Caenorhabditis elegans: one gene and its partners. The main gene of each other region encodes a partner of the protein of the gene in region 3 in a complex. Each region holds a gene or a part of one and is shown on either strand. Other genes may lie near its edges.

Region 1 (6,727 bases), on a different chromosome or scaffold from region 3:
CAAAATATACATGACGTCCATCTTTATGAGGTACCAGGAATAGACGATTGATCGACTTGATAGGAATCTTGTAGTCGTACGTTTTTCCATGAAGTGCAATACTTGTTGGATAAACTTTGATGTCGTATCTTCCACGAGGAGTTGTGCATAGAATGTCGGTGAGAAGACATATCGGTTGCTCCGTCTCGGCTTCCAATCCAGCGTATGCCAGAACAGCTTTCTTGAATTCTTCAACTTTATCAGCATCCTCCTCATTTTCAAGATCAATTGGCATATGGAATCTCATCTCCATGAGCTGAACTTTGCTATCATCATTTTGGTGGAACTCCAAAACTGCCTCATTTTTGTTTGCAATAACATTCGATACATTCGTGCACGGGATTTCGAAAATTGGCTTATCTTCCCATGAAAATTCAACAGTCTTGCCTTTTACTTCGGCTTGTCCGTAGTTCCATCCTTTGATGAAAAGATTTGATTGATCGATGGATTGAGACCAATTAGAAGAAGTGAACGATTGGATTTTCTCGAGGTCCTGAAATTTCAAGTTTGTGATTGAAGTTTTTTGAAAAGCAGCAAGAAAGCAAGAGTGTTTTAAATGAAACTAAAAACAAATCAAAATGAAATGAACAAAAAACTAACAGTATCTTTGAATCCTCCGAAGCGGTGAGCACCTCCATCGTTGAGACCGACTCGTAGTCCCGGCTTGTTGCCAAGTTTTTGCCATTTCAGTTTATCGATATCGGATCCCGTGACATTAACTGATTTTCCACCCTTATCGCCTTTGAAGTTGAGTGATTTTTCAGTCAATTTAAGTGTTCCGAACGCCAAATGACCTACATCTTCAACATAAACTCCCGGGAATTGGAGCTCAGCCATTCTGAAAATTGTTTGTCAATAAGTCTAGTTAACGAGAGAGAGAGGGAAGAAATCGAAAGAAGAGACTTCAGAAAGTATACTCCAGCAGAATGTAGCGACACTGAAAGAAAATATCGATTTTCCGAGCGAAACTAATTACGAAAATAAACCCTCTTTTCGGTGAAATTTGTTCTGGTTTCTTGCAATATGAATTCATGAATTCAATATACTCATTACCAGAGATTGAATATGATTATTTATAATTTAAACAGAAATAACGAAAAGATTTCGATAATTATCATCAGATTCGTATCGATTCTAGAAGAAAAATTGGGAAAAGTGTTGCATTATTTTTGGCGCGCCGAAGCGAAAACAATAAACTACGGTATTCGATTGTACGTGAACACCGAGCATTACTTTGTACGCAAACATGACACCTGACGACATTTCACAAGGATTCATACTTTTTCGTTTTTTTTTCTCAAAAATGTCTAAATTTTCTGATTTTTATAGCAATCGTCGCTAATCAAATAATTTCAGGGCAATGGACGACGATTTGGACCAATTTTTCCATGATGATGCGGAGCAGAATGTAAGAAATAGCAAAATCTCATGTAAATCTTACCAAAACCTTTTCAGGCTGATTTTTCGGATGATGGCTCAGAAGATGAAGCGCCTGACAATGTCGATGTCAATTATGAGTTGGAGAGGGAAGAACCCAAAAGCAAGTCTGTTGCAGAATTCACTAAATTTTTGCAAGAATGCGAATATCCGGATGACATCATAAAATACTTTAAAACGATAAAGTTTTTCGAAAAAGACGCAAAAACTGGAGATATTGTTTCTACAAAATCACTAAAGTTTACTGTAACCGGTTTCATTCAATACTTGTTTGGCACGAAGCGAATTCAGCGTCCAGTTCTCAGAGGAATCGCTAAAATTTTTGGAAGATATGATATTTTCCACTTAATCTCCCCGGAGCTTGTGAAGTCTATAACGGTGAGTTAAAATATCTGTATTTGTTTATACGAATCACACATTTTCAGCACCTAAAAGAAACTCGCACCACCGCCTGGTTCAACCTGTTCAATTTTCTTTCATTCGTCCCGCACCCAACTGATCGAGTGACGAAACCATTATTTCGCCAGTTTTGTGTCAGAACTCCATTCAACGATAAAAGTATGAAAAAACGAAAGCTGACATGGATCTCAACTGACTATGACAACGTTTGGATGGCTGTTATGAATGGAAAAATTAGTGACAAGTTGACACTGAAACTTATTCCATATATCACTCAGAACGTCATTTCGAAATTGAAAGCACCATTCAAATCTGCTGATTTCTTTTTCAAAATGTTCGACAAAACTGACTATCATGGAATTCTTTCGCTTGGTGCTATTTTTCGTCTTATTTCAGAACATAACTTGTAAGAGATTTTATTTGAAATAGATTCATATAAATCTTTATTTCAGTGAATATCCGAAATTCTACGACAAAGTATATTCATTGACGAACCCATCTCTTCTCTATATGAGTCAGAAAGAATCCATTCTGACACTTCTGGATAGTTTCCTGTCGTCTACGTGAGTTGCAATATTCTAGAAAATTTATTCTGAATCATACCTTTTCAGCCATCTCCCAACATACATCACTGCTTCGTTCCTCAAACGACTCTCCCGATGCCTTCTTCTTGCTCCAATTGATGCTCAGGAACCAATTCTTGGATTAATTAGAAATCTTGTGATTAGACATCCAAACTGTTCTGAATTGGTTCATCGTGAGGTTCCTCAGACTCTTTACGATGATCCTTTCGACAATGATGAGACAGATTTACACAAAACTCGCGCATTGGAATCAAGTCTTTGGGAGATGAAACTTCTTCAATGTCACTGGAATCAAAGTGTCAGAAAACGAGCTCATTTCGTTGATAAATCGATTCAAAAAATTGAGTCTTACGTTCGATTCCGATGCACCGACGAGTTATTCTCTGTAAACATGGCAAAATCATTTGGCGGAGAGGATGGAGAAGCTGAAAAATATCGAAAACTGCAAGACGGGGATGAAGACGAAGAGGGAACAGGAAAGCCGGAACCGAAGAAAGCTCGTAGAAAAGGATTTGGTGGGAAATTCGCTCCAAAACACGAAGAAAAAGTCACAAGAGCAGTCGGTGTGAACTCTGAAGCGCCGAAAGGAATTCTTGATAGACAAGTTCCAATCATCGATGTTCCAACTTTATGGAAAATTTAATCAGATTTTTTGTTACAGTTATTGTTGTTCCACTTTTGTTGTTGTTTTTCCGTTTTCTCGTTTTTATATTTTAAATTTTCAAAATAGTACTGTTGTTTTTCTTTTAAAATAATTATTCCAGTGTTTTATTCACTGAAATCATATTTAAATTAAATATCTTGTTCCAATTTCTTATCCATTTTTCTTTTTTTGATTAAAAATATTTTTACAGTTCACAATGAACCTTAACAGCCCAGCTGTATCAATGCTTGGCGGTGACACCCCTGCACATGGTGGACCGAATTCCGTACTTGGAGGTCAAGGACCCTCATCAATTCTCACGGGACACGGTCCCAACTCTGTAATGGGACCAAACTCGATTCTTGGACCTGGAAGTGTTCTCAATCCACAATCAATTCAACCAATGCAATCACAACAAATGCACAGTAAGTTATTTGTGGAAAACTCATTTCAGGGTTTTTGCTTGAAAAGGATAAAACTAGCCCAAAATTAACTAATTTTTTTTAAAGAGACTGCTCATAAAATTTTCACTATTTTTTATGGCATGACAAAAAGTAAATTAACAAGAAATCAGAATTTTGCTGAATCCCGAGACTTCTATCACAGCAGCTGAATTACAGATTTTTTGAATTATCACCCTTTATAGAATATTTTGTTAGTTTTTCGTTAATTTCGGCAAATTTTTATGTCGTTAGGCGTCTAAAAATGAACATAATTGGCATGTCGATCATAAATGGGACTGAATCGACGATGTGAAGCGAGATAAACAACTAAATTATAAAATTATAAATTGTTCAATAAAATACACTAATTAAAAAAAACTGTATCCTAACTGATGCGACAAGGAAAAGTTAGCGAAATTTCAGATTTAAGCGAAATTAATACGTTTTTTTTTCGAAATTTTAATATTGTACAGTTTAAAAAATTTATGAAAAAATCTGATGAACTCTCTGTGCACGTTTATTTTAGCCGTGACCAGTCTTTCAACTTTATAACCTTTTTTCAGTCTTAAAGCCGTTTGTCAAAATTAAAGATTTATATTATTTCAGGCCTTCAAGGTTCTTCAATGCAAATGCATTCACATCTCGCCAACTCCAATCTCAACTTGAACATAAATCCAGCTTCAGTCGGACCTGATCGTAATCCTGGATCAGTTATGCATCACAATTTGGACATCAATCCTCCATCAGTTGCATATCAGAATTTGACAGTTCCAATGACACCACTTGCATATTCTGTATATGATCGAGATGCTCTGACACATCAGGCTCCGGCAAGTAACATCGCTGCCACAATGGTTCCAGCAACTCCAGCAAGTCAATTGGATATTCCGATGCCAGCTCTTCAGAACATTGTCTCTACAGTCAATTTGGGAGTTCAATTGGATTTGAAGAAGATTGCATTGCACGCGAGAAACGCCGAATACAATCCAAAACGTTTCGCAGCAGTCATTATGAGAATTCGTGAACCAAGAACAACTGCTTTAATTTTTTCGAGTGGAAAAATGGTGTGCACTGGTGCGAAGTCAGAAGAAGCAAGTCGATTGGCAGCACGAAAATATGCGAGAATTGTTCAAAAGTTGGGATTTCAGGCGAAATTTACCGAATTTATGGTAAGTGTTTCTGGAAAAAGGTCACAAAATCATTTGAATAATTTTTTTGTAGGTTCAAAACATGGTTGGTTCTTGTGATGTTCGTTTTCCGATTCAACTTGAAGGATTGTGCATTACTCACTCTCAGTTCAGTACTTACGAACCAGAATTGTTCCCTGGATTAATTTATCGTATGGTCAAACCAAGAGTTGTGCTCCTTATTTTTGTGTCTGGAAAAGTGAGTTTAAGTTATGAAATAACCTTTTCTATGTTAAATTTTCAGGTTGTTATCACTGGAGCAAAAACAAAGAGGGACATTGACGAAGCATTCGGGCAGATTTATCCAATCTTGAAGGGATTCAAAAAATAACTTTCTTTTATTAAAATTGTTTTCATTCTTCTTTATTTTCAAATTTTTGTTTCATTTTAAGCCTTCCCTTATCCCTAAACCCGGATCTCGTATAATACAGGTAAAGTAGCTTCATTTTAGACATCTATGCACTTTAGAACCACTTTCTTCAGTCTACCAATCCGATAAAATCGTTTCGAATTCAATAAGCTTTCGATTAATTACTGCTCACCATTTCTCCCCGTACCTTGTATAATTTTGTTGATGTTATTTTTTTTTGAAGAAGTGACATTATCAATGTTCTTTTCAACTTTCCTCTTGTTTTTCAAATTTCTCCCGTATTATTGAGAATAAAGTATTAAAATAGTTGTTGTTCAATCTACGAAATTGAATTTCTGATAATTTCTGTAATATATTTATTCATATTTCAAATTTATAACATTTCAGATTGAAATTTATCGTTTTAGATGATTCCAGCTGATATTATTGCATCAATTGCTGGATTAGTAAATGAAAAAGATATTGAAAAGGTATTTCATTGGTTTCTACATTTTCAGATATAAAAGAATATTTCTTAACCCGACAAAACTCGGATTTCGATCTCACTGTCAATTCTGTTTTTAAAAAAGTAATTAAGTTTCGAATTTAGTAGAATTTCTCCAAAATTTTTTTGCCAAAAGACTAGGAAAATTTAAAAAAAACAAACAAACTGAAATTTTAAAGGTTTAGTGAAAAAACTCCGAAAGAGAAATTGAAATTAGTGAAAACACAAGAAAACCAGAAAGAAAGTCGATTTTAATTTATTTTGAATCCGTAACAACTCAAAAACTTGAGCAAAAGTTTCGAGACCCGAAGAACTCGAGGGATGTCCAACTGGGGGGATTACCAACTCGGGGGATTGGCCCCGCCCACAGAACCGTGGCTTGCAATACGCCCATTTTTGCAACTGCCGCACGGTTTTAAAATTATTTTTCTTGTTAATTCTCGCTCTATTGAGAAAAATACAGTTTTAAAACCGTGCGGCAGTTGCAGAAATGGGCGTATTGCAAGCCACGGTTCTGTGGGCGGGGCCAATCCCCCGAGTTGCTAATCCCCCCAATTGGACATCCCCCGAGTTCTTCGGGTCTCAAAGTTTCAAATTAAAAAAAACAACACTAGAACCATAAACATCACATGTTGCTAAAGAATATCCGCGAAAAATGTAGAATAGTTTTTTTTGGATTTTTTTCCAAAAACTAATTTTTCGTCAAAATACAAAAAAAAAACACATGGTTATAAGATCGCTCACTTTTGCGCAAACAGTTTTTTGAAAATATAAAGATTCATAGTATCCGAATGAATTCAATTTTTTCAGATCACTTCTGAGTATCAGGACAACATTTGGGAATTCGTGGAATCACTTGTGACTCATGTTCTTGCCAGTAATCATGTTGGATATTCTGGTAAGAATGAATATTTTAACACCCTAAAAATATTAAAACGAGATAGAAGTTTGGAAAAAAAATTCAATTACAAAACTTATTTTTTTTAATTCAAAAATCGTACAGTAGAAATAATAGTATAAGGTTCGATGTGCTCTGTGAGCCAGAAGCTGCAAAAAAGAAGTGCAACAGGCTGGCTTCTCTGTGCTCTCCAGGCGCCGGTCGGTGTATGGGCTCGGCGCTCGGCGCCCGGAGCCTCTGTCT
Region 2 (5,298 bases), on a different chromosome or scaffold from region 3:
TCTTCTTCCACGTCGCATGTACCGTAGTCTTCCTCAAAATGACTATCAGGGAATGTGGGATAAACTAGTGCGTTTATAGAATGTGAAAGACTGGAACAATGTGATTTGTTTACAGATCGATACGGATGCACAGATGGATGCTGAAAATTAGAAATTCCTGCAGAAAGACTTGACCCGGTTTATCCCAATGATTAATTCCCACACGTCCATCTCGACTCAGATACTCTTGCAGATATGATAATCTCATCCTTCATGATACTAATTTTCCAGTTTTAATTTTGAATAAAGTGATTTTGTGTTAGACATCAGAGTTCCTTTTTTTCCCTAATTGCACGTTGTGACAGATTGTCTCATTTCTGTTTGATCTATGTAGATCTACAAAAAATGCGGGAGTCAAGACACGGAGATCTCAACTGATTTCGCACGATTAAGAACGTGCTGTCGTCAAATTTTTTTTTGGGAGAAATGTTCCCGCATTTTTTGTAGATCAAAGTATAATGGGACAGCCTGACACCAATTTGCAGAGCTGAGGCATGACGCAAGTATACTTATAGTCCTGCTAGATCGCAGAATCATGAAAATGACAGCTTTTGCACCAATTCTCGAAATATAATTATAGTTGCAAGAGAATTGTTTGACGTCACTGCACTTTTATTTTGAATTTTTTTTTCGAAAATTGATAATTTGCATTGAAAGCAGGGATGGGCGGCAAAAGATTTTTCCGGCAAATCGGCAAATTGCCGGATTCGAAAATGTCCGGCAAATCGGCAAATTGCCGTATTTGAAAATGCCCGGCAAATCGGCAAATTGTCTTATTTGAAAATGACCGGCAAATCGGCAAATGCCCGGAATCGAAAATGTCCGGCAAATCGGCAAATTCCCGGATTTGAAAATGTCCCGCAAATCGGCAAATTGCCGGATTCAAAAATGTCCGGCAAATCGGCAAATTGCCGATTTTCCGAATTTGCTGAAAAACGGCAATTGCCGAAAATTTTCGGCAAATTGTGGTTTTTCTTGAAAATTCGGCAAATCTGCAAAAATTTCCGGTTTGCCGATTTAAAAATAGATCCCTCTCAACACTTCCGCCAAATGGGTATCCGGCAAACGGCAAATGGTCGCTTTGCCAAAAAATGAAAATTTCCGGCAAATCGGCAAGCTGGCAAATTGCCGGAACCAAACATTTCCGGCAAATCGGCAAACCGACAATTTGCCGCCCACCCCTGATTGAAAGTACACTAAAAATCAAAATTCTAATCAATTAAAAATCTAAAATTTTCTAGTTAATAATTTTTTGATTCTTTCCAAATGAACCGAGATATACGCTGCCAGAGTGGTATAGACCTAAAGTTTTGGGTCGCTGAAAATCACAAGAGATAACGCGCTCCACGGCCAATTTAAAACGCCCCGCCCCTGAACCATGGGTCTCGTTAGGTATTTAGCGGTTTTTTCAAACTTTTTCAACTATTTTCGGGATTTTGGCAATTTTGAAGCATTTTTCGTTGTTTTTAAAGAATTTTCTGCCAAAACATTAACGATGTTTGAAAATTCACGTGAAATTGACCATTTGCTTTTTTTAAAATCAATTTTTACATTATAATTCATTGAAAATAACGGCAAATGCTTGAAAATTAGCGAAATTTACGCAACTAATCAAAAAAATTTGAATTTACGGTTTTGCCGCCGAATACCTAACGAGACCCGCGGGTTCGGGGGCGGAGCGTTTTTGGACAGTTTCTCTCTGCCCCTATAATACAGACTTTTTTTCTAAAATTTCCCTGAAATATTAATTTGGGAGCGTATTACAGCTACTTTACGAATTTGATGAAATATTCATGTTCTGATTTTTGAACCGCTAAAGTTGTCTAGAAACATTTGAATTAACGATGATTACCGGGAATTAAATAGTAAAAACTTTTTAAACTTTAATTTTTAAAACTAAATTAATTGAAGAATTAATTTTAATCAAAATTTTCAACGTGCGTTCGCCCAATTCTGTTTGATTTAGCCCTCTTATTACCAGAAAAGGGCCACGAAAGCGTTCACCAAAATTGTGTGCGCACGCATTACGAAAACGCGCGCCGCACATTGCAAGTGGGCGGAGCGCCGCACCACGAGACTTTTTTAAAGTTTAAACCCTCGTGCCGCTGCCATTGGTTTTTGGGGGAACTTTTTGAGCTTTTAAATACGAATTTTTATTGTAAAGATATGTTTAAACAAATTAGTAATAACTTTTCAACGAAATACTCGCTTTAAATTATCTTTCAACCTAAAAAAAATTCAAAAATTTCCCGAATTTCAGCAAAAATGAATGATCCAGAGCAATATGAGCCTTCTTCGTCGACAGAAAGCGTCCTGATGCCTCCACCCGCACTTCCACAGGTTTTTTATCGATTTAATTGATTAAAATTAACCGATTTAAAGTATTTTCAGCGGCCAGCAGCAGCTCCACAAGTTTACTCCACTCTTGAGCCATCTGTTCAAAATTTAAGGTTTGTTTTTGTTCAGGGTTAATGACATTATGACAAGACAAAAATTATTAACAAATAATTTCAGATCGTCGTTGCACAAGCCTCTCACCGGAAATCAGCAACAATTTGTGCAGAAAACGCTGGAAAATGTTCAGAAAAATCCATCGCAAGACGACACACACGAGTTCATCAATCAGCTCGCCGACTATCCGCCGACGATTCCCGATTCTGTAACATTGCACTTCTTGAAGTCTGCCGGTGTTGATGGATCGGATCCGCGAGTGACTAGAATGATCTCGCTGGCGGCTCAAAAACATGTTTCGGATATTATTCTTGACGCGATGACAAGTGTATGGTTTAGAATTTGCAAAAGAAAATCCAAGTTTTTTTACAAGAACAATTTCAGGCTCGTATGAAAGGTCTCGGACAGACGAAAAAAGGAACGAAAGACACAAAATACACGCTCACAGAGGAACTTCTCGATGAAATTCTCAAAGAATACGGACACCAGAACACTCGTCCACCATATCACACCTAATTTATAATATACCAACATGATACTCCTCAATGGGTTTTATAATGCTTTACATTTATTTTCCTGTTTTATGAATTTATGCCGTTTTCCTATATACCAATTATCCAAGTGGCTCTTTTTTGCCATTTTATGCTTCTCCTTTGTTTTAATTTTCAGTTCTATTTAACCCATTTTTCTCTAGAACACCCCCAACAATGCCAATGCCATTCACACGCGACGATGACTATGACAGTGATCCAGAAGTTCAGGCGGAGAAGGAAATGGCCAAGAAAGATCCAATCGGCTTTGCGATCGACTCGAGCTCGCTGACTTCGATGAAGAAGGCGGCGGCTGCGGCCGCGAAGGATCAGGTCTCCACAACTCCACCAAATCTAGTCATCGGAAGCAATGGAGGCGCCGGCACGATCGCAACCGTCCCCCGTTCCAAGTGTGGGTGCTGGAGCTCAAGCTCAAATGAAAGAAATTCGTGATGAAAAGTTCAAAATTTCGGCCAATTTTGACAACTTTTCCGAGTTGCAAAGCTCGGAAATTGACTTTGTTCGATTTATCATCCTTGTTTGCACATTCTGATAGTTTATCTCACATTATTTCGTTGATTAATGTGCATTTAAATTTAAAAATGACCAAAATGAGCTTCTATCGGCTTAAAAAATACTTTAATTAACGCAATACTCTGGGATAAACGACCAAAATATGCGATAAAGAATGATAATTTTAAAAAAAAGTCAGCTCGCTTTTTCGTTCGAAAAAAAAAGCGTGCGGTGGCTTGCGAAAAGCCGCGCGATAGGGAAAATGTCCTCCAAAACACTAACAGTTTTTTTTATCAAAAATCTCAAATTTTCAGCGCAAGACGAGATTGTAAAGAAGCAAAAGACTGCCGGCCAAAGCAAGGCTCTCAAGAAGCAACGCTCTCGCGGAATCTCGGGATGCTCTTCTCGCAAATACTCGGGATACGACGATGAAATGGATGAGGATTTCGGCGACGATGAAGACTACGACCACTACGGAGGCCAAGAGGTTTTCGACGAGGACGAAGAGGACACTTTTGTTGCGAAAAAGTGAATTCCCATGATGATGTCCCAGTGTCGCCGTTTCAATTGTTTAAATAATTTAATTTTAAAAAATTTTACCGTTAAACTCCTTGTTATAACTTTTTTGTGAAGTAGTATATGTGTACATTCACTCGCTGTAAATTTAATTTGCCTAGTTTCTTTTTCGTTTGTTTTTTTTCTGTTAATTTTTCACGTTTAATTTTCCACACACACACGGCTTTTTAGTTCGGATATTATTTCAATCCCCTGTTCCACACTTTTCCCCAGCGGTTCCATGTTTCTACCCCGATACTCTTTTTCAATTTTGCCCTAACTCCTTCCTTCACACACCAACTTATTCTCATTCTGTACATAAATTGATCGGCGCAAAACTTTTTTTCTGAGGCCTGAAAGTTAGAAAACTATCATTTGATTATCTAAAAATTATCTTAAAAAATCCAATAATTAAAAGCAAAAATGTTTAAGTCCCAGAGATATGATTCCCTACCGCCAACTAGTCAGAATGTCCCATCTGGCCGCCCGTTTCGTCGGCGGAGCAGATGTTCATGTTGTAGATCCACTAGTCGACTTGAGGAATGTCTTCGAGCAAACTGATCAGCTGAAAATTGCGTTGGAATGCAGAAATCTCACAGTAGACGTGGAAAAAGTGAAAAACGAATATGACGAATGGTTTGAAACCTATCAGAAATGGAAGCAAGCCGATAAAGAATCGATTTCCCAGCTGAAAAAAGAACTTCGAGCGAAAAAAGACGGTCTGCTAAATGCTCTCGCCCTTCCGAATCTTGTGCATCACGCCGGGAAGAAGCAAACTCCGCTATTAAAACCTTCAAGTAATTTATTGCGAATTTTGCAAAAAAAGGAGCGCATCGCACAGAAAAAGAGGCGGAGCGTAATTTTGCGACCCCGCGGCACGGTTTTCCACTATTTTTTTTGTTTTTTTTTTCAATAAAGTTTCGTTTTTACTGTGAATATTCATTCATCGATCCCTGCATTAATGCACGCATTTTGCAAAATTCAAAGATCGACAAATGAATTTTCACAGTAGTAACATCGAAAATTTATTGAAAAAAAGCAGAAAAAAATAGTGGAAAACCGTGCCACAGGGTTACGAAATGGCCACCGCCTCTTTTTCTGTGCGACGCGCTGCTTTTTGCAAAATTCACAGATCTTTCTCCATTTCACGAAAAAAAAAATTCAGAACACGCTCAATACCTCGCACAGCAGGGATTAATGCGAATTGACA
Region 3 (8,404 bases):
TCGTCCAATTTCACTGAAACATGATTTTGTGGGCGTGGCTGGTTACTGTAGCTGACTAATTTCTTGAGCACACTGTACCTTGCGGCTTTCATTGTATCTTTTCTCAAACTTTAGTGCATTTCTTACGTTTCACCCCCATCTCTTCATTCATTCTCATCAGGTTCAAAACATTTTCAGTTCTTTTTTCATACTCTCGTGCTCCATTTCAAAGTGCTCCAATTCCTCAGATTCATTTCATTTAGATGTATATTCTTTATTAATCGCTCCTTTATTTTCCCCTGTAATATTGTACATTTGATTGTGTATTTAACTCGGTTCATCGAAATTTTTTATATTAAAACAACTGCAAGAAAAGAAAAAATAAAACAATAAATAAGAATAAACTATCAGGATTTGGAAGATATTAAGTTTTGTGCATGATGTGTTGTCAATTGCAGTGTTGTCTCTTCCTGCGTTATGCTACCTTTAATTTTTTTGTTTTTATGAAAACAGTGATTTTAAATTTTAAACTTACTCACAGTAGCTCTTTTCGAGTCGTTTCAATTCTGCACATACCGCCTGTAATTTTTTGTGACTTTTATTTATCTATTTTGAGTCCACTAAATAGTTTTTAGAGAGAAATTGACAAATTTATAAACAACGTAGAAGTACGTGATTTGAATCACCTAAAAACGTCCAAAAAGTTCAAAAAATAGCAAGCTTCGCTTTTTGGATATTTTCATGCATTCTTACTAATTTAATTTAGGCGGAGTCGTGCCAGTGGTGATTTTATTTTAAAGGAATATGTAGTTACCACTTTTTGAAATTCGCACTCAAAATTTCAGCCTTCTCTCATAGATTTTTAACATTTCATGTTATATATGATCTCTTAGATTAATGTTTGTCAAATTGTGAAACACTTCTCCACACGGAAAACAGCGAAAGAATGTGTAAATTCATCAATTGTCAAAAATCTATCGATTTCATTTCGAACATTTTTTTATTTGGGAAGTGTTTTTCAGCAAAAAGAAAAATATATGATAAAAACGCCGAAAATCTATGAGAGATAGCCCCAATTAGACCTGAACTCGGTCTTTTGCTGATTTGAAGTGCAAATTTCAAGAAAAAAACTACTCTTCATTTAAAAATTACCTGAATATCACTGTCCACTTGTTTCTTCAGTTGCATCGCTGTTGCCAGTAGTTGAACATTATTCTCTGCTGACGAAATAGCCGTCTCATATTGCCCATTGACACGTTTCAAATTGAAAAGCTTTACATTCCAATAGAACATTTGAACATCATTCAGTTTGACAAGTTCATCATTTGCCGTAAATAACTGACAACCAAGATCAAACTTTCTAATGACAGCGTTAATTGTATTGAATGTCCATGCTTCTGTTACTGTCATTTTGTGAGATCCCATCGTGAATTTTCGTGTGATGTCACGTGGAATATCCGATGGGAACTTGCTCAGTAGTTTCAGCTGGACCATATGGACAGCCACATAACGTTCTTTATTACGTGTCACTGCGGGAAGCTTCAGACCATCTATGGTAACCCAATCCCAAGATGATAGAGAGGAAATTAGATTTTCAGTTCCGTCAGATGTACTACTAGATGTACGAAGACGTTGAGGAGGTGGTGACAGGTTTTTGTTGCTCTGAAATTCAAGAATCTAGCTTTCTAGGTTTCTAGACGCAAAGCTTCAATTTTTCAGTATCGACAAAACATTTTCTATTAAAAAAAAACCTACATCAGTTCTCCTTGTAGAAGTTGAATTATTCATCTGCTGCTCATTTCCAACTGCTCCATTCTGTTTCTCCGGCGTAGAGCAATCAGATTTGATCACTTCAACATCAATTTCAGGACTATGGGCTCTTGGCGTCGCATCAGTGTCCTTTTTCTCAGCACTCTTTAAAGACGAGGTTGTAGTAGTGTCCATAATGTGTAGAAACACAAGCAATGCTCGTCTTCTTCTTCTCTGTCTTCCACTCCCCCATTCATTTTCTGTGTGCATCTGTCTCTCCAGTCTATCGATCCTTACACGGAGCGTGTTCGCCTCTGCGTCTCGCTTGGGCTTCAACTGCTTCTCGGCGTCCCTCTGAATTTTATATGCATTCGACAACGTTTGTGTGTGTGTGAAATCGTCATTCTAGGACAACAATTCGTATTTTCGTTGCATTAGATATTAAAAATTAAAACGGCTGAATTCAAAATGGGTAAGTATTTCTAATTAACTATTTCCCTAGTTTTACTTTACGTTTTTTCATCATTCTAGAAAGTTATCACTGTAGCAATCGACTCCGTTATCAGATACATAGAAATGATAAGATAGCAAACAAAATATTGTTGATTGCACAATTGAATACATTCGAATATTTATTAATCGTTGTATTGAAATCAGTTGGAATGAAAATGTTAAATTTACACTACAAACTACAAGCGATAACATTTTACTGTATATTTAGTGTTCTTAGTTAGTTGCCAAAGTGATATCAAGGGAGATATCATAATTATTTAAGATTGGGTACCTTCATTTAAAGAAACTGAGTAGAGTTCTTTTGGAGTACAGGACCCAAACACCGTTTTTTTTTCATAGATAATTAACTTTTAACTCCTACAAAAAGGTCTGACAGAAATTCCGAAGGTAGGCATGCCTACGTAGGTTAGTTGCAATCTCGCTCTGCTGCACCATGTCGGCAACAAGTTCGTAGTGACGTTTGAATTAATTCTTCTTCGCTCTTTTATTCTACTTATAAATTCTGCAATTGGCCACATATTTGAAAAAAAAAACACCATTTTGAACTCAATTATTTTTCTAACAAATGTCGGTTTAAATTCAAAAAAATATATCAAATTTGATATTTTGACAGTATTTTCTCATAATAATATATTTTCCAGAGAATGAACTTGATGGATAGCGAGAATTCGAGTAGTCATTCGATAAGTTCTCCACAAATGTTTCAAAACACGCACAACAATTCAGCAATGGAGGATAATTTGCTTTCTCGGCCAATGAACAATGAATCACTTCAAATGATTATTGGATACTTACGACGAAATGGTTTAACAGAAACTGAAGAGCTTTTGACTCGAGAAGCTGGACCAGTACTTAGAGTTGAAGGATCTAATGGATTACCTCCAGAGTAAGTTTTTTTTTTCAATTTAAAAATGTATCTAGAAATTAATATTTTAAAAGGTTGGAGCATTGCTAGACTCAAAATGACCCCACAAAATTGTTTTAAATTTCTCAAAAAAAAGCTAACCAGTTGATTAAGATGCTTTTTCAGTAGATGTGCACACAGTAATTTCAAAATAAAATTTTTTCCAAATGTTGTGCATCCATCGACTGAAAAGATCACTTTTACCGAAAAAATCAATTTTGTAATTTTCTGCCGAATATAGACTTTTCCCCTAAACTCAAAACCGGTATTTAAATAAATTTGGGAAATTTACAAGACGTATTAATAATACATTCGGTTTTCGGTATCATTTTAAGTCTAATGAATCTACTCAAATTTCGCCACTTCATCTTAGAAATAATTTTTTTTAATAGCAAAATAGACAAAATTTGAATTTTTCAAAGCCCAATGTCTTAAAAACCAAAAGTTTCAGAGAAGCGATATCCGTTGAATTCGACACATTTGTCCAGCACGCAAACGATTGTACAGATGTTGTTCAAGCGGAATTCAGTCAACTTTTATTTCCTATATTTGCACACAGCTATATAGCTTTAATTGAAAAGCATGCCGCAACTGCCCGTATATTCTTCAATCGATTCAAGATTTTCATTCCTGAATGTTTCTCGGAATTTGTATATCAATTATCACTAATCGAAGATGCAATGACGTTACGAGCCAATGAACATGTTCACATTTTACGAGAAAATAAATTTCTTGTTCGACTTTCGAGGCCAACACTGAAACATCTTGAATCAATTCAAACGAGAGTGATTGGTGTTAAGAATATAATTGCAAAACATATTTGTATTGAAAGTAAGTATTCATTTTTATATACAAAAAAAATATAATAATATCCGTTAAAGATGCTGACGAAGTATCCACAAATCGAACGACAATAGAAACCCAAATGGGTGGAATTCTTGGAGTAACTTCGAAAAGTGATAAAAGACATAAAATGATGTTTTCGGTGTTAAAAGACGAATTGATGCAGAATATTGAAAAACGGAAGACAAAAGGAAAAGATTGGAAAGATATGGGAAAGAAAATGCAGACGGTAAGATTTTTAAACAATTTTTTTGAATTTTTTTGTACTGACAAGGAAAGATTTTCATCTTACCCTGAAATTTTAAAAATGTTTATCAAATTTTGTTTATGTTAATGAAAAAAAACATAAGAACATATATAATTGTTTTCTAAAAAAGAGAAAAAAATTGTCAATATTTTAAGCTAATTTTCAAAAAATCAAAAACAAAATCATTAGATTTTTCGATTTCCCAAAAACCGAAAAACGTAATATTTTCGTTATTGTTTTTTGTGAAAAATCGAAAAATGAACACCTTTGCTGATAACATATCGCTGTAACATTTTAATCGGCATGTTATGTTGAAAAATCTAATTTTAAAACAGTTGATTTTTTTCTGAATAAATTTCCAAAAATAATGTTTGGCTACACCTAAACTCTTTTGAAGTCTTCAAAAATATTCAAAAGTATCTTTTGGAGCAACTCTAATGGCCTGAAAATAATGCAAAAATACACTGAAAAATACAGTCAAAATTTAAATGGTTGAGGGTGTAGCTGTGACGATTAAAATTTTTTAGTGTGTTTTTTGAGTCCCTCTCCCTTTGTTCTGTAATTTTCATAGTTCTTTGTATATATCTTGTTATTTCCAGCATTGCCCACAAGCTGACCGAATTCCTCTTCCACCAATCAGCGAACATCTTCGAGAGGAACGACGAAATTGGCTTCGAGACGTCGGAAAAATGGCCATCATTTCAGCTGAATCACCCGTTTCCATTTGTATGTACACAACAGTAAATGCACCAATTGGAGTGGCTTCATGTGATTTTACGGATGATTCAAGTCTTATTGCAATGGGTTTATCTGATTCTTCAATTGTTATGAATGCAATGGATCCGATGAATAAGATGAAGAAGCTTCGTGATATGGAATTTCTTGATAAAATCGATATTGAAACTGCGGATAACGTGCAATCACAAATGTTTGATTTACAAGGATCAACGACAAGTGTGAGGTATACAGGCCACGGTGGTCCCGTGTTTTCTGTCAATTTTTCACCGGATCGACGACTTCTTATATCATCTGCCGGAGATCGAACAGTTCGACTTTGGAGTATGGAGACTCAGAGGAATGCTGTTATTTATAGAACACCAGCAGTAGTTTGGCAGGTTTGTATTTATATAATTTTAACTAGCATTTTAACTGAGATATTTAGTGTCGTTGGTAATCTTATTTCAAATAATAGATCATTATCCGAAATTATCGAATTTAACTAATAAAAAAACTGTCTCATAAAGTTTCAGCGCAACGTTCTACATTATCTAATCTGAAAACTATTACAGGCTCAATTCTGTAGTCGTGGATACTATTTCGCTACAGCAAGTGCCGATAAAACAGCTGCAATGTGGTCGACAGATCGAATGCATCCACTTAGAATATTCGCTGATCCATATGGAGACGTTGGATGTATTGATTATCATCCAAATTGTAATTATATTGCTGGAGGATCAGATGATAGATATGTTCGAGTATGGGATGTTTGTTCTGGTACTCGAGTTCGCATTTTTAGTGGTCATAAAGCTTCGATTATCGCTGTCAAGTTCTCCCCATGTGGTCGGTATATCGTCTCGTTAGATGCTATTGGAAATCTGATGATTTGGGATTTGGCATACCAGAGATTAGTTGCAGCTGAAATTACGGAACAAGCTGGAACGAAGGTAGTGAAATATAAAAATGATAATATCATATTACTAGTTCATTTCAGGGTTCAATTACATTCTCTCGTGATGGTGGTGTATTTGCGGTATCCCATGGAAATTCAAGTATTCAATTATATTCACTTGATACTCTTATTGGAACAGTTCTCGCCGCTGGACAAAATGATTCCTACATTGAGCCAAAGTAAGTTTTAATTAGGAACAAAATACTTGGAGAAATATACAGGTACAAATATTATGAAAACGCAGAAAAATCCCCTTACGAGAAAGAAGAAAGTATAAATTTTATTCATCAAATTAGCCATAACATTTTTTTAAACCACTTAAAAACAGGACAAATGCTTGAAGATCGGAGAAATCGGCAATACTAAAAACTTTCGAATTTACGGTTTTGTCGCCAAATACCTAATGAGACCTATGGCTTGGGGGCGGGGCGTATTTATTCGGCAGTGGAGCGCGTTTCCACTTCAGAATGTCTTTTCTAAGTCCTCATAATATATAGTTTCTCGAAAACTCCTACAAGCTTTTTTCAATCAATTTTTACAAAATTTCAGAGTGAATCTGGACGGTTTCAATATAGGATCATATGCAACAAAAGAAACTGCAGTAATCGGACTCCATTTCACTCGTCGAAATCTTCTTCTTGGATTTGGTTGCTTCGGGCAATAACTGTCATCTTGCCTGCTATTATTTGAACATTTTATCTTTAAAATACATTATCTCAAAATCTGGTCTTTAACGTGATCCTCTCATTCATATTAAATCTCTTTTTCACTGGTGGAATAAAACCTTTTAACAAATTTTAAATTTATTTTAAAATCCCTTTGGCTTTATTTTGGAATTATGTGTTCATTCCGACACTGCAAATATTTTATTACATTTTTTTCTCTTTTTTAAAAATAAGGTTATTTTATTTTCAGATGACGTCGTTCGTCGAAGGGTTGACCAGCCCTGAAATGGAAATTGCTGAGGGCGGAGTCATCTTGGATAATAGGACGTAGGTTTTTTTGTTAACTTAAGACTAATAAAAATACTTATTTTTTAAAAAATTTCAACAGTTACATTTTAGGTATAACTGTACGTAACATTTTTCGAATATATCTACTTTCAGACGATTCGCTGACCTAAAAGCCATGCTGGATAGTAATAAAGATAACCTAAAAGTTGATGCAATGAAACGAATAATTAACGTGAGATTTTATTTCCAATAAATTATAATTATCTAAACTTGAAATTTCAGCTGATAGCGAAAGGAAAAGATGTCAGTGAACTATTTGCTGCAGTTGTGAAGAACGTAGCAGCAAAAAATGTGGAGCTGAAAAAGTTGGTATTTGTTTATCTTGTACGATATGCCGAAGAACAACAAGATCTTGCACTTCTCTCGATATCAACTTTCCAACGGGCTCTCAAAGATCCGAATCAACTGATTCGTGGAAGTGCTCTCCGAGTTTTAACATCAATCCGTGTTCCGATGGTCGCACCAATCATGCTTTTAGCCATCAAAGATGCAGTACGTGATATGAGTCCATACGTGAGGAAAGTTGCTGCACATGCCATACCAAAACTATACTCACTGGAACCTGAACTCGAACCTCAGCTTGTCGATTGCATAGATTTTCTTCTCGCTGATCGAAGAAGTTTAGTACTCGGTAGTGCTGTTTACGCATTTGATGAGATCTGTCCACACCGACTCGATCTTCTTCATAAACACTTCAGAGCATTATGTCGTGGTTTGGCAGATGTCGACGAATGGGGTCAAATTGTGATGATCAACATGTTGACTAGATATGCAAGACATGAATTGGCGGATCCAGATAGAGGACCACCCGATACGGATGTTGTACTTCTTCTCAACTCAGCTCGTCCTCTACTTCAATCAAGAAATTGTTCAGTTGTCATGGCAGTCGTACAATTATTTTATCATGTTGCGCCGAAAGCTCAACTCTCTCAGGTAAGTCAAGCGGAAAAAAATATGGCTTCAGAAATTTCAACTGAAAAGTTAGTAAAGTAAAAATAAAAACTCTTATTTCCAGATCGCCCGTGCACTTGTCCGACTTCTACGTGGTCCACGGGAGACCCAATACGTAGTTCTCACCAACATTGCAACAATATGCGAACGAAATCCGGTAGAGGAAGGAACTTACGCCATCTCAAAAGTGCGCTGAACGCAACTGAGAAAATAGCATGAAAAGCATGTAAAGACTGAGACAAATCTAGAAGAAACTGTTATACATTTATCAGTTTTTGAATTAATTTCACAAAATGATAAATTTGTGATAGCAGTGGTTAGCGTCTCAGTCTTAGAGTCACTTTCCCCGTTTTTGTGTTGTCTTAATCTGGATTGTCTGAAATTCTTTTAAAATGAGATATCTAGCTTTTTGAACGATATTGTTGCTCAATTGAAGTGCACTGTGATGTTTTTGCTCATAAGTAAATACATAGAATTCTTGGTTTTGACAAATGAGACAATCCAGATATTTTTACCAGTGAATTGGAGTGCTGCTT
Region 4 (10,434 bases), 7.5 Mb from region 3:
CGGTTAGTTACTCCAGTTGTACGGCTTATTCATGCCATATTTTCCAAGATTTCCACCATTGTGTTGGTATTGAGAATGTTGATTCTGCTGAGCTGCCGGCTTCGATCCAGACATCTTGTCGTAACTCTTGCGCTCGTCATCCTGTCCGTAGAGTTGACGACCTCCAGCGCTGCTTCCAACATTGGGCATCATGTTCATGAATGGAGTAAACTGGTGTGGAGCAGGTGAGTACTGCTGCATGAACAACGACGACAAGTTTGGCTGCTGCATGTAGTTCGTCGCCTGGAACCCTGGTGGTGGTCCAACATTCGACGCCTGCTGTGGCTGCTGATCCCGAGAGCTTTGAGATCCGAACTTATTGAAGTCCATAAGTCCATGAGTCTCTCGTTGTTGACCAGATTGCACTTGTTGCGCAGAAGCAGCCTGTGACAGAGGAGCAGTTGGAAGCAAGCTTGTAAGATCAACTCCCATTCCGTATTGCATAAGAGCAGCAGTATATTGCTCATCTCGAACTCCTGGCATTGGATTGTACATGTTCATGTAGTTGTTCATGTATGGTGCATATGGGAGTTGTTGAGTGAACATCATATGTGGATGCTGTTGTGGATGTCCAGTCGGTTGTGATTGAGCTGGTGGAGTTTGTTGCTGCTGCTGCACTGGCTGTTGTGGGGCTTGTTGCTGCTGCTGCTGTGGCTGGTGCTGCTGAGCAGATTGCTGTGTTGGAAGTGGTCCAGAATTGTTGAACTTGTTCGGCGCCATCCTGTCCGTTGGTTGATATGAAGCGGACGAAGTGTCATAGGACAATCCTCTGTTAGATTGACCATATGACAATGGAGGTGAAGTCGATTTTAAGTTGTAATCGCCGTTAGGAATTGACGTCCTTTCTGGCTGAAAAATAATCGAGAATTAGAATAAATCGTCTTTGCAACAAATTTAACTCACCTCAACTTGTTTCGGCATAATACGAGAAGAGTTAAATATATTTTCACTGGCATTTGAGATCGAGGCAGCGGAGGATTCAGTAGAAGGAAGCTGTGGGCTTGGAGCAGCCTCAACAAATCCAAATGAGTAGTCATGAATGTTCGTTGGTGCAGTTGTGCCAACAAATTCCACTCCAGGATCAGGAATAATCTGGACTGGTGCTGCACTTGGAATTGGAGATAATCCTAGTCCTGGTGCTTCACTCAATCCTATTCCAAGATCCGTCTTCAGTTGAGTGGTCCATGCTTGATTTGGTTCTGGGGTGCTTTGTACATTTTCATCGTGATGAGTCGACACATTAGGCGTCTGCTCCTCAGCCAAAACTGATGATTCACTGAAAATTAAATTTTTAATAATCTAAATACAGGGACAGAACAACTTACTTTTGGAAGAAACCATCTTCTTTCTCCGGCTGATGCGAAGTTTCTGGCTCGAAAAATACTGGCGCTGCTGCTGGCTCTTCTTTAACTGGTGCAACTGACGGAAGTGGAGGTTGTGGGGAGAGACTCCTCCTTGGCGGAGCTGCTGGTTGAGGATTCTGTGCCTGGTGCTTTCGGAGTGCTTCTTTGCGATGGGCAGCTGCTGCTACTGCAGCAAATGAGATCGGTGCCGGCGCAGAAGATGTGGGAACAGTGGCGGTGACGGATTCCTCTACTGGTGGTTGAACTTCGGTGACTGTGGTATCCACTTTAGTCTGATTCTGAAAAAAAAACACGTTTCGTCATTTTCCTTCTTCAAAAAATTCTTACCTCATCAAGATCAGCAGTGAACGCATCTGGCTCAAGTGCTGATGATGGAGCAACAGCTCGAGAATATCCACCTCTGGCGCCACCTCTTCCACCTCGTCCAACATACGGTTTTTCAAATCCTCCTCGAGTCGAGCGTGGTGCTGCTCCTTCCTTATTATCACGGTTATCCCGATTATTATCTCGGCTTTCTCTTGGAGCTCCATTGGATCGCCCGCGGCCTCCTCGATCGACGAAACCGGTGCCTCCACCTGAAAAAAACATATCAATATTTGATCTATTTCAATCAAGCACGAACCTCTGCCTCTTGCTACAAATCCTCTGTTGTTATAACTGCCCTCTTCCGGCTTCTTCTTTTCCTTTTTGGCTCCTTTCTGTTCAGTCCACGAGTCAAGTTTATCTCCAGCATCCAGAATGTGATCGATTGCGCCGTAAAGATTGTTGTCAGTATCCAATAGCGCTATCTCAGCTTGTGCTTGTGTACATCCGGTGGTTTCGATAATCTGAAAATGAAAAAGACATGAGCAGTGAAAAAACCCCTCTTGGGAATGCGCGAACACTTTAATTAGCCCAAATGAGTAGGACATCTGGGTACTCTTACTCTCGCTGCACCATCTCAAGCGCGGACACCTGCTTTTGTCCTTTTATTTGCCATCTGGCCCCGTCTTATCGATTCGAAATTCCTATTGACACTGAAAGCGGACACTAGAGAAGTTCAAAACAACAAAGTCACGTGCGTCATCATGTCGGTGTGTGGCGAGCGTTCGCGTGATGCAAAGATCACTATTTTCAGGAAAGCGTCATTTCCAGCTTGGAGACTTACCGTCTTGATCATAAACTGTATGTCCTCCTCATTTCCGGAATTTCCTTCCAGTGTGAGTCGTGCAAGTCGCGCTTGATCGCTGGTAGCTTTTTTGTCGCCTTTAATACCCATTCTGAAAACAAATTATAAATAAAAAGGGTCAGTCATGTGAACGCAAGAATGGAATGAGAATCACGAGAATACAACTATCAAAGGAAGGTTGAATGAAAGGAAGGTCAAATAGATGACAAAAGTAGGAAAAGAACGAAATATGGAACCTTCCAGATCAAAAAAACATTATCAAAAGAAAAGCCTCGCACAGAAGACTCTAACGAACATGTTAGGATGAAGAAATATTTCAGCAATACATCACGTTGAACTTTGGAGGATATTCTAGAGAAGAAAACCCCTACATTTTACAATAATTTTGAAATGGAATTCGAATGAACTGCTATACAATGGAGAATCCTATTTAGCGATGATAAAGTGTAGGCTTGTTACTAGATTGAATAAAAATTTCGAAATGTAACAATACATTGACTGAAAATTTGGGTATTTCAGAGTGTGATATCACAAAAATCAATATTTCCACTAAACTCAAAAGTTCTTACGCTGAAAAATCATTAAAAAATTGAAAAATCACCGCAAGCTAGACTAGAATCGCGTTCAAATCTCGCAAATTCCCGCAGTTGAAAATGCGGGCGACCGCGACGCGAGCCGCAACGCACCCCTCCAAACATGCGGCATGGGTCTCGCCACGACCGAAAGTACGGTCACTCTTGGCAGTATAAAAGGCGACCATTTTCCGCTATTTTCCGGTAAATTTTCAAATGAAACTGTGTTGCGGAGGGGGTTTTCCGCTAATTTTGCGGAAATTTAGCTATTTAATGTGAAAATGTGAATAAAACAAAAGAAAGTGGGGAGGAATAGCAAGGAAACACACTGTTGAACCCTGGGAATTATCGATTTTGTATGAACTCTTCTTTTATGGCGTCGAAATTATCGACACGAAAACTCAAAACCTTGTCACATTTCTGAGAGAGAAATATCATTTTCAGCACACATGAGTCTTCCCAGATTTCGACTCGTTCAGGGAAAGGCGATCGGCGAGCGATCAACGCCAGGAGTCAGCACACCAGAGCCGGTAATTGTTTTTTTTTATTTCAAAATTTCTACAACAACAAAAAGAACTAACAATAATTTATTCCTTTGATTCCAGGCCCCTCCGCAAATAAAGCAGGAAGTCGACTACCAAGATGCTCATCAAATGGCTCCGGAACCCGTGGAAGCACCCCGTAAATATTTAAAAATTTAAAAAAGTTAGAAAAAAAATTTGAATCCCAATTTTCAGAGGCTCAAAACCATCAAATGCAGCCGCCTCGTCAACCTATACAACAGCAGATGCAGCATTTTCAGTCACCATCGCCAATGGCTCCACAAGGGCCGCCCGGGACTCCACAAAACTCTGCAGCGGCGGCCGCCGCTGCTTCAGATGACAAAAACGTGACAAAATGCGTCCGCTTTCTGAAAACTTTAATTAATCTGTCGAATAACGATGATCCAGAAATGCCGGACAAGGCCGCCCGTGTCAAAGAGCTAATTCGAGTGAGGAATTGAGCGAAAAACGCGATAAAAACCGGACAAATTCGGATATTTCAGGGCGTAATTTATCTGGAAACGACGGCTGAAGAGTTTACACGAAATCTGCAACAAGTGCTCAAATCTCAGGCTCAACCGCATCTTTTACCATTCCTTCAGAATACTCTTCCGGCATTGAGGAATGCTGTTCGAAATGGTTCGGTTTTATGTGCAAAAAAATTAAAATCGACAAAAAAAAAATCATCGAAAAACAGGAAAATTTGAGTTGAAAAGCAGCGAAAAACTTGAATTTAACATAAAAAATTGCAAAAAATCCGTTGAATTACATTTTTCAAGAAATTGTGTAGAAATTCCATGAAAAAAATTCAAAATTTCCAAATTTTTTGGCTATTTCTAGTCAATTTCTTTAAAATTCCATTTTTGATAGCGAAAATTATCAAGTTTCTAACAATTTCAAGCTGTTTTTGGTGATTTTTTCAATTTTTCGGCTTTGAAATTCCATTTTCCGGAGTATATTGTCATAATATATCCGAGTTCCACAAAATTGAGCAAAAAAAATTAAAAATTTCCCTTTATTTAAAAATATTTTCAGCTGTCAGTAATATATGGATTTTCCGCAATTTTTCTCACAATTTTGAGCAAATTCCTGATTTTCAGCCAATTTATAAGGATTTTCACCCATTTTCATAATTTAGGGCTATTTTCAGCTGAAAAATTGTAATTTAAAGTTTTTAAAATTTTTATAGATTTTCTCAAATTTCAGCTCAAAAATTCGATTTTCAAGCGCATTTCCAGGCAATTTATTAAGATTTTCACCAATTTTTTTAGCTTAAAATTTAAAATTTCCACATTTTTTGTCTATTTCCAGTAAATTTCTTTAAAATTCTATTTTTGAAAGCAAAAATTATCAAGTTTATCGCACTTTTTCAATTTTTCCGGAGTATATTTTGGTAATTTATCCGAGTTCCACGAAATTGAGCAAAACAATTATTTAAAAACTTCCCTTTATTTAGAGCTATTTCCGCAAATTTTCTCGCAATTTTCACGCAATTTTCATAATTCAGGGCTATTTTCAGCTGAAAAATTGCAATTTAAAGTTTTTAAAATGTTTATAGATTTTCTCAACATTCAGCTCAAAAATTCGATTTTGAGGCGCATTTCCAGGCAATTTATGAGGATTTTTACCTATTTTCTAGATTAAAAATCTTTTTTTTTCCTCAATTTTGGACTATTTTCCCTAATTTTCAAATTTCCAGGCACTGCATCAGTTGAAGGCGTAAATCCACCGCCTGGCTACGTTTTCAACAATGGAAGAACCCCAGGACCCCCTCAGCCACCTCCACCTCAACAACAATCCCAGCAGCAGCCACCACTAGAAATGCGTCAAATTCCGAATCCGAATCAAATACCCCCACAAATGGTTCAAGGGGGTCCCCATATGGTATCTGTAGGCGCCCGGCCAATGATCAGGCCTATGGGCCCCGGCGGCCCAAGCCCAATGGGCCTACAAGGCCCCGTACGAGGGCCGATGGGACATCAGATGGTCCAGATGCATCCTCCTCCCCCACCACAGCAGATTCAACAGCAGCACCCGGCTCCCCCTGTAGAAATGGAGGTGGAAGAGAATTTACAGCCTACCGCGGCGGCCACGGCCACGAGGCAATATCCTGAAGGATCGCTGAAATCGTCGATTCTGAAGCCGGATGAGGTGCTGAATAGGATCACGAAACGAATGATGTCATCGTGTTCGGTGGAAGAGGAGGCGCTTGTCGCGATTTCAGATGCTGTTGAGTCGCATTTAAGGGAACTTATTACACTGATGGCCGGAGTTGCAGAACATCGGGTGGAGAGTTTGAGGTATTGAGGAGAATTGATTTTGCTTCAAAATACGGCAGCGAAAAAAAAATTAAGCAAAAATAAGGAAATTATTGAAGAAAAATCGTCTTAAAAACAATTTTACATTAAAAAAAAAGATTTTTAAATTTCAAAGGTTCCGAACTATTTATTAAAAAAACATCTAGATTTTGTTTTAAAATCCAAACAAAAAACATTGCTGAAACGCGGTAATTTTTTTTCAAAAAAATATAAAAATCTGAGAAATATTTTCAAAAATATCTCCAATTTTCCCCTGATTCCGAATATCTATTCGAAAAAATTCAAAAAAAAAATTTCCCTTTATATTTCAGCTTGAAATCGCTTTGTGCATGCACACCATGAGATTTTTCAAATGCGCGCCCAGATAAATTCTCATTGGGGCGCACTTGCTTCGTGTCGATTTACGGGAGCTCTTCATTTTTAAATTTCTTTTAAGCTTTTTTTTTCAGTTTTTCAACGAGTTTCCTTGATCTTCGTCGATTTTTTGTCATTTTTTTTCCTGAAATTTTGTTTTGTGTCAATTTGAAAATTTTTTAGGTCAAAACTCCTGTGTTCGTCGAGATCTGACGTAAAAATATAAAATTCCGGGAGTTTTGAGATATAAAAAAAATATTTTAAAAATTTCAGAAAAAAAACTGACAAAAAAGCGACAAAATAAAAGAAACGCGCAAAAAAAAAAAAAAAAAACTTAAAAAAGCACGAATAAATTTTTTTAAAAAATGGAGAGCTGCCGTAAATCGACACGAAGCAAGCATAAAAAAATGGCTTTTTTCCTAACAATTTTTTGTGAAAAATCCGAATTTTCCATCCTAAACACTACAAAAGATTCCAGAATTCCGGAGAACTACGTGGCAATTGATGACGTCAAACGGCAACTTCGATTCCTTGAAGATTTGGATCGTCAAGAGGAAGAATTAAGGGAAAGTCGAGAAAAAGAGTCGCTAATTCGAATGAGCAAGAATAAGAATAGTGGAAAAGAGACGATTGAAAAAGCGAAAGAAATGCAACGACAAGATGCTGAAGCGAAAAGGAATCGAGATGCGAATGCGGCTGCAATTGCAGCACTTTCCAGTAATAAAACTGTCAAGAATAAGTTCGTTTTTAGCGTGAAATTTGCAGAAAAATTATTTTTAAAAAATAGATTTAAAAAAAACAATTTCCTGACCAAGGGTGTCATTTTTCGATTTTTCGGTTTTCAAAAATTCGAAAAATGAAAGTTTCGTTTTTCGATTAAAAAACTGAAAAACCGACACCTTTGTTTCTGAGATTTGGATTTAGAAATAAGCAAAAAAAAATTATTCAGAAAAAATTGTTTTACAATGCTGCAAAATCGATGAAAAAATAAAATAAATCAATAACTAATTTCTAAAAAATGGAAAAAAATTTCGTTTTTTTCGAATTTGTATTTCACAAAAAAAAATTTTTAGAATAAAAATTTTCAATTAAAAAATTACTATTTAAAATCACTGAAAAAAAATGAAAAAAATAGAAAATTCAGAAAAATAGCGAAAAAAAAGTTTTTTTCCAGAAATTTCGTTAAAACGATCAAGATTTTAACCCTAAAATTTAGATAAAATCAATTTCTTGTGGTTCTTAATTTAAAAAAAAAAACAGTACTTTCCAGTAATAAAACTTTCAAGAATAAATTCGTTTTTAGTGCGAAATTCGCAAAAAAAATTACGAAAAAGTGAAAATAGAAGCTGAAAGGAAAAATGTTTAAAAAATAAGAATATTTTCGACATTAATTGGTTTTTATATATATTTTTTTGTAGAAGTTTAAAAAAATTACTAAAATCACTGAAAAAATTGAAAAAAATTTTAAAATCTGGAAAAAAAGCAACAAAAAATTAATTTTTCCAGAAATTTCGTTGAACTATTCGGTATTTTAAGCCTAAAATCAAGATACAATCAATTTGAACAAAATTTGCTTTAAAAATACTAAAAATTCGAAAGAAATAGAAAAAAAAAGAAATTTTCGAAATTTGGATTTATTGTTAGAGAAAAGCTGAACACTTACAAAAAATTAATTTTTTACGTTTTGAGAAAAATTTTTGAAAAAAAAAATCGATTTTTAAATAATTTTTAGAATTTTTTAGAACTATAATTTTTGAATTTCAGTGACTTATAATCACAGAAAAAAATGAACGAAAAACAAATGAACATCTTTTCGGCAAAAAAACGTATTTTAAAAAAAAATTTAAATTTCTAGTGACTTTGAAAAAAAAACCACATTTTCCAATAATTTCCAGGAATAAACTAAATTTCTTTGGAGAAATTTGAAATTTATTTCACATTTCGAAAAAATTTATATAGAAATAAAAATTTATATGAAAATAAAAAATTTGCAGCTCCTTCCAGTAATGAAACTGTCATTTGTTGAAAATTAGTTTTTTTTTAATTTAGAAATTCTCTTTTCGAAAAAAAAGGTTTTTTTAAAACTTGATTAAAAATTAATTCATTTTTTTCCAAAATTAGGGAAAAAATAATTTCTAAAAAATTAGACAAATACACTTTTTTGTTGAAAAAAACAACATTTTCCAATAATTTTCTTTTTTTTTAAATTGCTTCCACTAAATTCACTTTTTGAAGAAATTTTTTGAAATTTTTACTGAAAATTGTTGGAAAATTATTAAATGTGCATTTTTTTGCAATTTCCAGTTGATAAACTAATTTCGGTTCAATTTAAAATAAATTTCGAAAACCAATTTCAAAAAATTCATTTTTTACAATTTGTTTTTGTTGATAAAACGAGCTAGTTTCTACCAAAATACCGCTTTTTTACATTGAAAATTTAAATTTCAGATGGGAAAACACGGGCGCCGCAACGACAGCACCTCGTCCACGAACAGTACGTGTAACAACTCGTGATCTACATCTTTTAGTCAATCAGGATAGCCGATTCACAGGGTAGCGATTTTTTTTGTTTAAAAAATTTTTTTAAAAAACACCGTATTAAACATTGATTTTTATTGGAAAAAACTGATTTAAAAATTTTTCAAAAAACTTTCAAACGAATGGTAGTTTTTAATATTTTAATTTTAAAAAATTCCAATAAAAATCAATTTTTATACGATTTAAAAAAATTTTGAAAAGTTATCCAATTTTCTCCTAAAAAAACTCATTTTTTTTCCAGAACATTCATCCGTGAAAAGATGTCATACGGTGGTCCGGCAGTCGATACAACTATCTGAACTAAAGAAATCTCATGGAAAAAGGAGCGAAAATTCTGCTTTTCTCGTTTTCTTTTTTTAAATTTAATTTTATTTTTCCACAAATTAAAACAATCACTTTTTTCCAGTCAAATAATAATTATTTCTCATTTTTAAACGAAATGCTAGACATAAAAAAAAGCTTCTTTTTCAGCTTTTCAGCCAAAAATTTCAGATTTTTCAGAAAAAATTCAACAACAAAAAATTGGCAAAGTGCAAAAAAACCAGAATTAGATATTAAAAATACAGGAAAAATCGAGAAAAATGAGTTACAATTCAGAAAATTAGGCAATTTTTTTTTCAAAATTTCTCAAAAACACTGAAATTTCGGTATTTTTTTCTCTACTTGAGCACAACCTCGTGTTGCACCAATCGAACATAGTCTTTGAGCGTCGGTGGAAGTGGAAGCTCATCGATTATTCGCTGATAGACACCGTCGGCACCGGCGATTTCCAGATTTCTACGTTGGCGAAGGTGGATGGCGCGCTGGAAAAATTTCTAATTTCGAGCTGAAAACTCTTTTATGAAAGCAAAATTTCATAGTTTCAATTCAAAGTTCGAATTCCTCGCAAAATTTCAGTCGGAAAACCGAAAACTAGAAGTTTCTTGCTCGAATTTGAAATTTCGAGGGGTACGGTATCCTCGAAAGTACGCAAACACCGAATTTTGTTTTTTTGAAGTTTTGGCGCCAAAAATACAATACCCGGGGTCTCGACACGACAAATTTTTAAAATTTTTTTGAGTACTGTAATTTCAAACAAAAAGTTTTTTTTCGAATAAACTCGAATAATACGATAAAAAACATATTTTAATAAAAACCGTGGCAACGAAAGTTTGAAAGTACAGTACTCTCTTCAAAGGCGCACACCTTTTACGCATTTAACTTTCGTGGCGAGACCCCGGGGATACCGTAATTTTTGACTCAAAATTTAAACAATAAATCCGTTAAAATATTAAAAAATTTTTAGATATTTTTCAAAAAGACTGTCGAAAAATTGTTTTTTTATAATTTTTAGAATATTAACAAACAGTTTAAAAATTCCAACAAATTTTGTTTTTCATACCGAAAAGAAGAAAAATGGACAAAATAGTAAGCTATTTTTGTGTGTCAAAGTGTCTTATTTCGGCTTGATCTACGTAGATCTACAAAAAATGCGGGAGAAGAGACTCAGAGTTCTCAACTGATTTCGCATGGTTAAGAACGTGCTGACGTCACATTATT

What was found.
Region 1: taf-5 (region 3) and tbp-1 share a complex: the UniProt entries of both Caenorhabditis elegans proteins name them as parts of the TFIID basal transcription factor complex.
Region 2: taf-5 (region 3) and taf-10 share a complex: the UniProt entries of both Caenorhabditis elegans proteins name them as parts of the TFIID basal transcription factor complex.
Region 4: taf-5 (region 3) and taf-4 share a complex: the UniProt entries of both Caenorhabditis elegans proteins name them as parts of the TFIID basal transcription factor complex.

What each region holds. Positions count from the first base shown.
Region 1 is NC_003281.10:7,380,720-7,387,446, forward strand, and holds tbp-1 (TATA-box-binding protein), read left to right. Parts: upstream 1-3,313; 5' UTR 3,314-3,319; coding exon 3,320-3,527; intron 3,528-4,151; coding exon 4,152-4,714; intron 4,715-4,766; coding exon 4,767-4,931; intron 4,932-4,976; coding exon 4,977-5,063; 3' UTR 5,064-5,405; downstream 5,406-6,727. Other genes in the region: hmg-4 (FACT complex subunit SSRP1-A), read right to left, coding at 1-532, 640-876; T20B12.3 (nucleolar complex associated 4), read left to right, coding at 1,400-1,447, 1,495-1,854, 1,902-2,281, 2,328-2,438, 2,487-3,102; Tetratricopeptide repeat-containing protein trd-1, read left to right, coding at 5,510-5,572, 6,397-6,484. UniProt on the Caenorhabditis elegans protein: The TFIID basal transcription factor complex plays a major role in the initiation of RNA polymerase II (Pol II)-dependent transcription.
Region 2 is NC_003283.11:4,684,810-4,690,107, forward strand, and holds taf-10 (Transcription initiation factor TFIID subunit 10), read left to right. Parts: upstream 1-2,293; 5' UTR 2,294-2,304; coding exon 2,305-2,379; intron 2,380-2,421; coding exon 2,422-2,489; intron 2,490-2,553; coding exon 2,554-2,818; intron 2,819-2,874; coding exon 2,875-3,006; 3' UTR 3,007-3,090; downstream 3,091-5,298. Other genes in the region: nssp-51 (Neuropeptide-Like Protein), read left to right, coding at 1-67, 116-151; K03B4.2 (HUN domain-containing protein), read left to right, coding at 3,198-3,432, 3,848-4,065; K03B4.1 (Seryl-tRNA synthetase), read left to right, coding at 4,531-4,885, 5,254-5,298. UniProt on the Caenorhabditis elegans protein: The TFIID basal transcription factor complex plays a major role in the initiation of RNA polymerase II (Pol II)-dependent transcription.
Region 3 is NC_003279.8:7,846,931-7,855,334, forward strand, and holds taf-5 (Transcription initiation factor TFIID subunit 5), read left to right. Parts: upstream 1-2,882; 5' UTR 2,883-2,894; coding exon 2,895-3,127; intron 3,128-3,596; coding exon 3,597-3,976; intron 3,977-4,026; coding exon 4,027-4,217; intron 4,218-4,834; coding exon 4,835-5,350; intron 5,351-5,524; coding exon 5,525-5,899; intron 5,900-5,946; coding exon 5,947-6,083; intron 6,084-6,453; coding exon 6,454-6,568; 3' UTR 6,569-6,706; downstream 6,707-8,404. Other genes in the region: F30F8.5 (MATH domain-containing protein), read right to left, coding at 387-463, 519-558, 1,132-1,641, 1,735-1,923; apb-3 (AP-3 complex subunit beta), read left to right, coding at 6,820-6,896, 7,011-7,089, 7,140-7,850, 7,933-8,055. UniProt on the Caenorhabditis elegans protein: The TFIID basal transcription factor complex plays a major role in the initiation of RNA polymerase II (Pol II)-dependent transcription.
Region 4 is NC_003279.8:379,241-389,674, forward strand, and holds taf-4 (Transcription initiation factor TFIID subunit 4), read left to right. Parts: upstream 1-3,585; 5' UTR 3,586-3,592; coding exon 3,593-3,673; intron 3,674-3,748; coding exon 3,749-3,824; intron 3,825-3,880; coding exon 3,881-4,134; intron 4,135-4,188; coding exon 4,189-4,324; intron 4,325-5,384; coding exon 5,385-5,985; intron 5,986-6,835; coding exon 6,836-7,096; intron 7,097-8,805; coding exon 8,806-8,910; intron 8,911-9,136; coding exon 9,137-9,194; 3' UTR 9,195-9,324; downstream 9,325-10,434. Other genes in the region: Prion-like (glutamine/asparagine-rich) domain bearing protein pqn-59, read right to left, coding at 4-888, 943-1,315, 1,365-1,681, 1,731-1,978, 2,026-2,230, 2,551-2,661; R119.5 (Protein-L-isoaspartate O-methyltransferase domain-containing protein 1), read right to left, coding at 9,555-9,698. UniProt on the Caenorhabditis elegans protein: The TFIID basal transcription factor complex plays a major role in the initiation of RNA polymerase II (Pol II)-dependent transcription.